2 linked regions of the Macaca fascicularis genome follow. The protein of the gene in region 2 purifies or fractionates together with the protein of the main gene of each other region. This does not show direct contact. Links are inferred from orthologs where the notes say so. Each region holds a gene or a part of one and is shown on either strand. Other genes may lie near its edges.

The links.
Region 1: the proteins of GPATCH2 (region 2) and CSNK2B purify together in Homo sapiens (co-immunoprecipitation; 3 studies listed by BioGRID and IntAct, with this or other methods). This does not show direct contact. The link is inferred for Macaca fascicularis from reciprocal best matches to the Homo sapiens genes GPATCH2 and CSNK2B.

The regions. Positions count from the first base shown.
Region 1 is NC_088378.1:140,053,818-140,058,352, forward strand, and holds the start of CSNK2B (casein kinase II subunit beta), read right to left. Parts: upstream 3,104-4,535; 5' UTR 3,001-3,103; intron 2,418-3,000; 5' UTR 2,407-2,417; coding exon 2,335-2,406; intron 1,387-2,334; coding exon 1,284-1,386; intron 721-1,283; coding exon 605-720; intron 163-604; coding exon 87-162; intron 1-86. UniProt on the Homo sapiens protein: Regulatory subunit of casein kinase II/CK2.
Region 2 is NC_088375.1:75,289,966-75,293,271, forward strand, and holds the end of GPATCH2 (G patch domain-containing protein 2), read right to left. Parts: intron 1,556-3,306; coding exon 1,132-1,555; 3' UTR 757-1,131; downstream 1-756. UniProt on the Homo sapiens protein: Enhances the ATPase activity of DHX15 in vitro.

The sequences.
Region 1 (4,535 bases), on a different chromosome or scaffold from region 2:
AGGACTCAGGCCCCAAGATGCTGAGCCCTAACTCCTTCCCGTAAGACTGCCACAAGGTGCCTTCCTTTCCCTTCTTCAACACTCACCGATGGGAAGCATTGGCTGGTTCTCACAGTACACACGAGGACAGTAACCAAAGTCTCCCTGCTGGTACTTTTCCAACTGAAGTGAATAAAATGGAAGGGGTTGGCAGGTAGGTGTGAAGAGAAGAGGCAACTCCCTTCTCAGCTCAACCCATATCACTCTGTCCCCCACTCCTCCCACCTCTGTCCAGAGGCCCCTTCTCTGGCCCAGATGGGCTCTCAAACTCCTATGTTGCCTTTCTTCCAGTTAGGCAGGCTACAAACCATCAGAGCCATTTGTTGTTTGTTCCCTGAGGAAGAGGCAGTCTATCACAACTCTCTGTTCAAGGACTGTCTCCCTCCCTGAAAATTATCCCTTCAGGATGACCCCCAATCAGAATTCAATTCCCAGGCCCAAGCCTGGGGTTCTTCTCCTCTTCTCAGCCAGTTTCCTTAAACAAGGCTTAAACATGACTTCTTGCTGCAGGAACCTGTGTCCCTTACTGCTCAGAAGGAGGCAATTAGGAGCAGAGAGGCCTCACCATCTGGGCAATGCCACGGTTGGTAAGGATGTAGCGGGCGTGGATCAATCCATAAAGCATCTCGGCAGCCTGCTCAATCAGGTCACTCTGGTTGGGGTTGTCTTCCAGTTCTTCATCTGAAACACAGCCCGGCCAAATGCAACCACTTGTTTTTCAGCTTTCCTAGGTGCCCTGCCCATATCCAGGGGGTGCGGGCTATTCAGTTCGCCTGGCACCTACTTTTGGGCCTTACCCCATCCAACATCTGGGCATGTGACCCAGAAACCTGGGCTTCTGACCCTTGCGCCAACCCAAGACAGCTCTGTCTTCTCTTCACACCTCTTTAGCCTCCGCTCCCCACTCTCCCTCCCAGCTCCCTCCCCGATACATAACTGCAACAATGTCAATGCAAAAGATGAAACTCTAGACTGGAAGGTGCAAAGCAGGAGAAATAGCAAACCAGACCCATGAGGAAACATATTTTGGAAAACATCTGAATTGTGGATTTAGAAAACATGGGAACAAGTGATATACGTCACAAAACTAGACACAGTCAGGTGGAGGATCAAAATAAAGCATGAATTTGGGGTTAAAGAAATCAGAGAACCAAAGGAAATTTCAAAATTCAAGTAAGTGAATATAGATTTGAAGAGAAAAAAAGTGCATGCACACACACAAAACAACCCTGAGGGTGCCTCACCAGGCTCCAGGTCCAAGATCATGTCTAGAGCTTGTCGATAGTGAGGAACCTGCTCATTGAGTCCAGTAAGATTAAATTTGTCCTGGATGTAGTCTTCATCCACCTGTTGGGACATGGAAGCCAAGAGGGAACCCATATCAAAATCCCCATCTTTGACCTGGGCAAAATGCTCTAACTGATGCCTTATCATCAACACAACTGCATCTGTTCCGCTTGTTTCTCACTCCCAACTCAGCAGAAGTACTTGCGTCTCTCCCTAGTTCACCTATACTCCCTCCCATAAAGCTTTGGCTTTTCTTTTCTAAGGATAAGCAGGTACAGCAATCTTTTTCTTAGACATTCTTTTCAAGATCTCTGTCCCTACTCCTGTACTCCATCTCTAGGAACCAGTTTTGTCCTCTCAGCTGGCTGAGGAGGATGGAAGCTGAACGGCATGGTTTCTGAACAAAACATTTCAATACGTAGCATTTCAATTTTCCTAACAGCCAGCTGAGACAGGTACTAGCAGTACAACTTTAGTAATAAAAGATACAGGCTGGGCGCAATGGCTTATGCCTGTAATCCCAGCACTTTGGGAGGCTGAGGCGGGCAGATCACCTGAGGTCTGGAGTTTGAGACCAGCCTGGCCAACATGGTGAAACCCTGTCTCTACTAAAAATCCAAAAATTAGCCGGGCGTGGTGGCGGGTACTTGTAATCCCAGCTACTTGGGTGGCTGGAGCAGGAGAATCGCTTGAACCTGGGGGGCAGAGGTCGCAGTGAGCCGAGATCGCACCACTACACTCCAGCCTGGGCGACACAGTGAGACCCAGTCTCAAAAAAAAGATAAAGAAAAAGACACAAATTGCCTGCTGGAGGGTGGCAGAGTCGAAACTTGGGCCCCAGTTTTGCCACTTTAGCACAGGTTCGTCGGGGGTTATTGAGGGGACTCTTCGTTGATGGGAAGTTTTCAAGTAGTATGTAAGAGAACAGTGTAGAAGTGGAATACGTGAAGGAACATCTGGTGGGAAGATATGTGAAGCCAGCAAGTAGGGAGGTCGAAGAGAACTCACTTCACAGAAGAATTCATTGCCACGGAGCCCACAGAACCAGGAAATCCAGGACACCTCCTCTGAGCTGCTCATCTTCACGTCAGCTGAAAAAAAGAGTGTCAGTAAAGCTCAAGTTCTCCTTCCCTGCCTCGGGTATCCTCCCTCCTCCCACATTAGAACCACCCTTTCTTAAAGGATCCCAAACTCTGAAGCACTCCTCTCCAACTCCTCCAATTTACATCTCAGTTCCCTTTTCTTTGACGTTAAACATTCTTTGGGGTCCCACCACTTGAAAGAAGCCAACAGATACTTTGACCCACCAGCCCGACCCACGTCCCTGGAGCTCCCGAAAGCCAGGGCCCTCTCTTCTCTGTGTCAACTCCGGCAGGGACCTCGACTCAGGCTCCGTACCAATGCAAGTCTCTGCACGACCCCGGCGCCTTTCCCAAGGATTTCCAAGTTTATCACTCTCAAGCAAGAATCGGGCGCCTCCTTTTCTCAAGGGTTGGGGGCGACTGTCAGGTCCCTTTCACCGGATTCCACACATCCCCCCTCCGCTCCTCAAGCCACCTCTCCCTCCTTGCCGGACCTGGTTGCTTCCTCCCCCCGCCCCCATATCAAAGTGCGGAGACCCATGTGCGGCTCCCAGCGACAAGCGACTAGGAGCAGCGAAGACCTCAGACTCACCAGCTGGACGGGGACCAGGACTGGGGTGGGGTAGGGAAGTTGCTACTTCGAAGGAACGGCGGCGACCGCTACAGCGCAGGCCGCGGACCCGACCGCGGCAGGCGAAGTGGGGTGGGGGGAGTGGAAATTGGGGAGGGTGGGGAAGAGGGCAACACGCAAGCGCCAAGGGTCAGGTGCCGCGGTGGATGCCGGGACGCGGAGTCCCCGGTAGAGAGAGAAACCGGCTAAGTGAGGGAAAGCGAACTACCAATCCCAGGATGACCCGCGCACGACCTGGCTGTCACGAAGCCCCGGAGGAGGACGCTTGCGGGCGGGGCGCAACGAGAAGCCACCGGAAGCGGAAACCAGGTATGGCGTTCGGGGCCTGGGAGCCTGGGCAATACAGTTGTGTGCTCACTGGGCGAAGAAGCTGACTTAGGGCGGGGAAAGGAGGGAGCCAGGCTGGACCCCTCCTCGCAGCTCTCCTCACAGTTGCCCTCTAGTCCCGACGCGGTGCTGCTTCCCTGGGGACTGGCCTATCCTTGGCCAATGCGCTGGGTCCTTATTGCCTGTTGGGCCCCTAGTGCGAGTCAGTCCCGCCAGAGACCCTTGACGGGCCTTCTGTTTTACTCCGGGCTCCGGCCTCATGAGGCGAGAGGTGCGGCTTGGCTCCGTGCGTAGGGACTTGGGTTGGGAGGGCTGGGCTGGGCTGGGCTGGGCTGGGCTGGGCTGGGCTGGGCTGGGCTGGGTGAGAACCAGAACGGCCCAGTGCGCTAACCTGAGGTGGTGCCAGCCATTCTGCTCGTCCCCTTGCACTTCTCCATTTCCCCTTAGTCTCTAAGTGTGACCTTCGAACCCTGGTCAGAGTAATGGTGAGGGGCAGGCGTGACGTTATTTCATTACACGGCTTCTCGGCATTCCACAGGTTTCCCTCCGCCTCCTGAGGGCCTTTCCTAACCCAGAGAGTGGATTCCTAGCTCCAGAAAATGGGCTTGGAGCGGGGGCCACGTAGAGGAAGGCGAAGGGCATTGTGGGGGCGTTATGTAAAAGTAGGACCCCAACCGACAGATCCTAGCGCTCGCGCCACCTGGGCGCGCGGAGCTTTGCTCGTTTACTATTGGAAAAGTTCCAGCGCGGGAAACTGAACCGGGAGCTTTGCGCACGCCTGAGCCATCAAGTAATGTGGGTGGTGGTTTTTGTTGTTGTTGTCGCCACGCATGCGTCTCCGTGCCGTGTGGCTATTTGATTGTGTCAACTCTGCTGATCAGAATAGCGCCATTTTGCGTTACGGAAGCTACACGGCAACACGTATAGGAGCCTCTCCCCGAGATCTTCTAGGGAGTGACCCGTCTATTTTTGTTTGGGAAGAGGAAACTCCGAAATGGGATCACGGAAGACTTAAAGGGCCAGGTTTGATTTTTTTTTTTCCTACTGGTATGTCTGTTTTACGGGGTGAGAAAGTGATTTCAGAAAGAGGCTGGTATTTATTGTTGGTAAGGATGGGGGTGGGGGCCGGACGCAGGACCTCTGGACGACTGTCTCATGGAGTTTGATTA
Region 2 (3,306 bases):
ATTCTCTTTTGCTGCCAACATGTAAGAATTGCCTTTCATTCTCCAACATGATTGTGAGACCTTCCCCAGCCACGTGGAACTGTAAATCCAATTAAATCTCTTTTTCTTCCCAGTCTTGGGTATGTCTTTATCAGAAGCATGAAAACAGACTAATACATAAAACAATAATAACTACCTACCAAAAAAGCATAACTTCATCCCTGGGAAAAATCACTTAAAATTATCAACATGAGAATATAGTCTAGGTAAAACTCTTGGTCTTTAAAGAAAAGGAAAATACACATTGAGCATCCAGGCAAAACCAAGTCACTTTTATGTCTAAGAAAATCAGACTATATCAGACATCGAAAGCAACATTTTATATAGGCATTGGAGTAACATATTTAAGATAGTTAAGAGAAGAAAACATGAGTCATGGATTGTGTATCTGGCCAAAATGACCTTTAAATATACAGTTCATGCATAAACTGCTAATAACAGGCAAGAACTCAGGAAATATTGTTTGAATGAGCACTTCCAGAGGAAATAACTAGAGAATAAACTTCAGACAAAAAGAATACAAAAGCATTGACTTAAGATTTTGTGGTGATCATTAAAAATATATTTAGTTATAGAACTAAAACTGAATGGACTGAACTAAAACTAAATCAAACTAGAACAGAAAAAGAAAAAAGGAGGCAGTATAGCACTAAATCGCTGTATGTGTCAGACAATGTACACACAGTATAAGTACCTAAAAGTGGATGAAAATACCTGTTTTTTTCTTTCTTTCTTCCTTTTTGTGGAGAATGGGGTCTTTCTATATGGCCCAGGCAGGTCTCAAATTCCTGGGCTCAAGCTATCCTTCTGCCCCTGCCTCCCTAAGTGCTGGGGTTACAGGCATAAGCCACCATGCCTGGCTAAAAATGGATGAAAATAAAAAGTATATAGGAAAAATAAGATAAGTTCCCTGACTGTCTTACAGATATTAACAAATGAAAGGAGGGCACATGAGGCCAGCTAACTTCAACATTGCTCACAGTAGGGAACCAGAAGCAAGGGGCCTCAAAAAGGAAGGGAAAGGGCCTAAGACTGTTATATAGAGGTAATAATAAACAGGTAATTATTAGGGGGAAAAAAAAAAGCCTTCCTCTAAGTCCAATGGTATACCAGAGTGAGAATGAGGGCAAGAGAAAGGAGAAAAAGAAAGGTAAAGGTAGTAAGAGAGGGAGAGAAAGAGAGATGTCTGTTTCTCTTAAAAACAGGGGAACAAAAGCCAATGAAAGGATGTATCTGCCGGGCACCGTGGCTCACGCCTGTGATCCCAGCACTTTGCGAGGCTGAGGCAGGCAGATTGCCTGAGGTCAGGAGTTTTAGACCATCTGGCCAACATGGTGAAACCCTGTCTCTACTAAAAATACAAACATTAGCTAGGTGTGGTGGCAGGTGCCTGTGGTCCCAGCTACTCAGGAGGCTGAGGCAGGAGAATCGCTTGTACAAACCTGGGAGGCGGACGTTGCAGTGAGCCAAGATCATGCCAGTGCACTCCAGCCTGGGTGATCGAGTGAGGCTCCGTCTCAAAAAAAAAAAAAAAAAAAAAAAAGGATAAATCATAAGCAAAACAAAACCCATTTTGGGGAAGAAACAAATGGAGGGAACCAGGTAGAAGTGAGACTTCTTTGAAAATAACTGTCTGAAAATTTGATTATGGATCCCATGAGTGTTTTTATATTATTATAAAACAAAATTAAACACGTTAAAAAGAAACCTGTTGCTGAAAATGACACTAATTATACATCGGCATACCTAAACTTAGAAACGATTTCAAGTTACTTTAAAACACAGGAAAATGACTGTATATTCCTAGTGTACTTATAGTAAGTATCAAATAAATGTAGAAAAAAGAAAAAACACTTTTTAGTGATTATTTTACTGGTAGTGATGATAGTATGGTGATTCTGAGATTGCTGTCTGTGAATGGTGGGGTAAATAAAATGAATGTTCCGATACCAAGATGTGATATTTTTAATACGGTTGGAAAAAGACTAAAATCAATGACAGAAAGTATAAACAATAAAGTCTTGAATTTGAACTGGAACTATCAGTATGAATCAATATTTTTTTTCTTAAAAAAAAAAAAATCCTAACTAATTTATCTGAAAAGACCTAGAAACAGAGACATTCCTAACATCCAGACTCTGGCTTCTAAACCTATTTCCTATTATAGTAAAGGAATCAGCGCTTCTTGGAGAAATGGGTGACTCCTAAGTCAGAAAAGGTCCAAAAAAAGCCTAGAAAATGCAAACATACCAGAAAGCAAAGACTAGCAGCAAAGAAACACACAACTACTTTAAATAATCTCCCATTGGCCACAAATGAGACAATTTTGCATCAATTAGAATTATAACTAATGGAGGAAACACATCAAATGTGTTTACATCAGTGAGTTCACCTTTGGAAAATGTTAGGAACCAATTCATTTTGAAAACTGACATCTAATAAGGGGAAAGAATCAAGTATTTCTCTTGCTTTTCCTACATGATCTGTACCTTAAAGTAATTGAGTAGTTGGAGAGGAGGAAGTTTTCAACAGAAGTAACAAGAACATATTAAAAGAATTAACACAGCTCTATTTTGCAACCCTTAATGAATAAATCTGGGCAATAATCATCATGCCAAATAAATCACGGAAAGAGATATAAGTGAGGGAAGTGTACAATATCACCTTTGGAACAATCTTGCCAAACAAAACAAAACACCAAACCTGAATCTCTAATCAGTTCTCCAGATCTAAATACCAATTACAGGAAACACAGAGGACAGTGGAGTATGTTAAATGACACCATGTAGAGAAAATCAGCAACATTCCAATATGTGAGAAATTTTACAGGCCAAACACCCGATGTCTTCAACCAAAATATGTCAAGGAACGCGCGCGCGCGCACACACACACACACACAGAGAGAGAGAGAGCTGGAGAAGGGGAATTTATATATCAAAGGAAATCTGAGAGATTATAAGGCAATAAAATAATAAAGGAAATGTAAATATCAATTGCATATATACATATTCATATATATTAAGGGATTATTGTTATTTTTTATAGATGGGATAAAGATACTGAGACTTTTTTTTTTTTTTTTTTAAAAGAAGCTGTTACCTTTTAGAGAAACACACTGATGTATTTCAGTTGAAATAAAAGAGTTGGGGGGCGGGGGGGATACAGATGAAACAGGGTTTGCCACATGTTGATAATTATCTAAGCCAGTTAATAGACACAATGAGTTCATGTTTTTCTCTGTATTTCTGTGTATAAAAAAATTGTTAA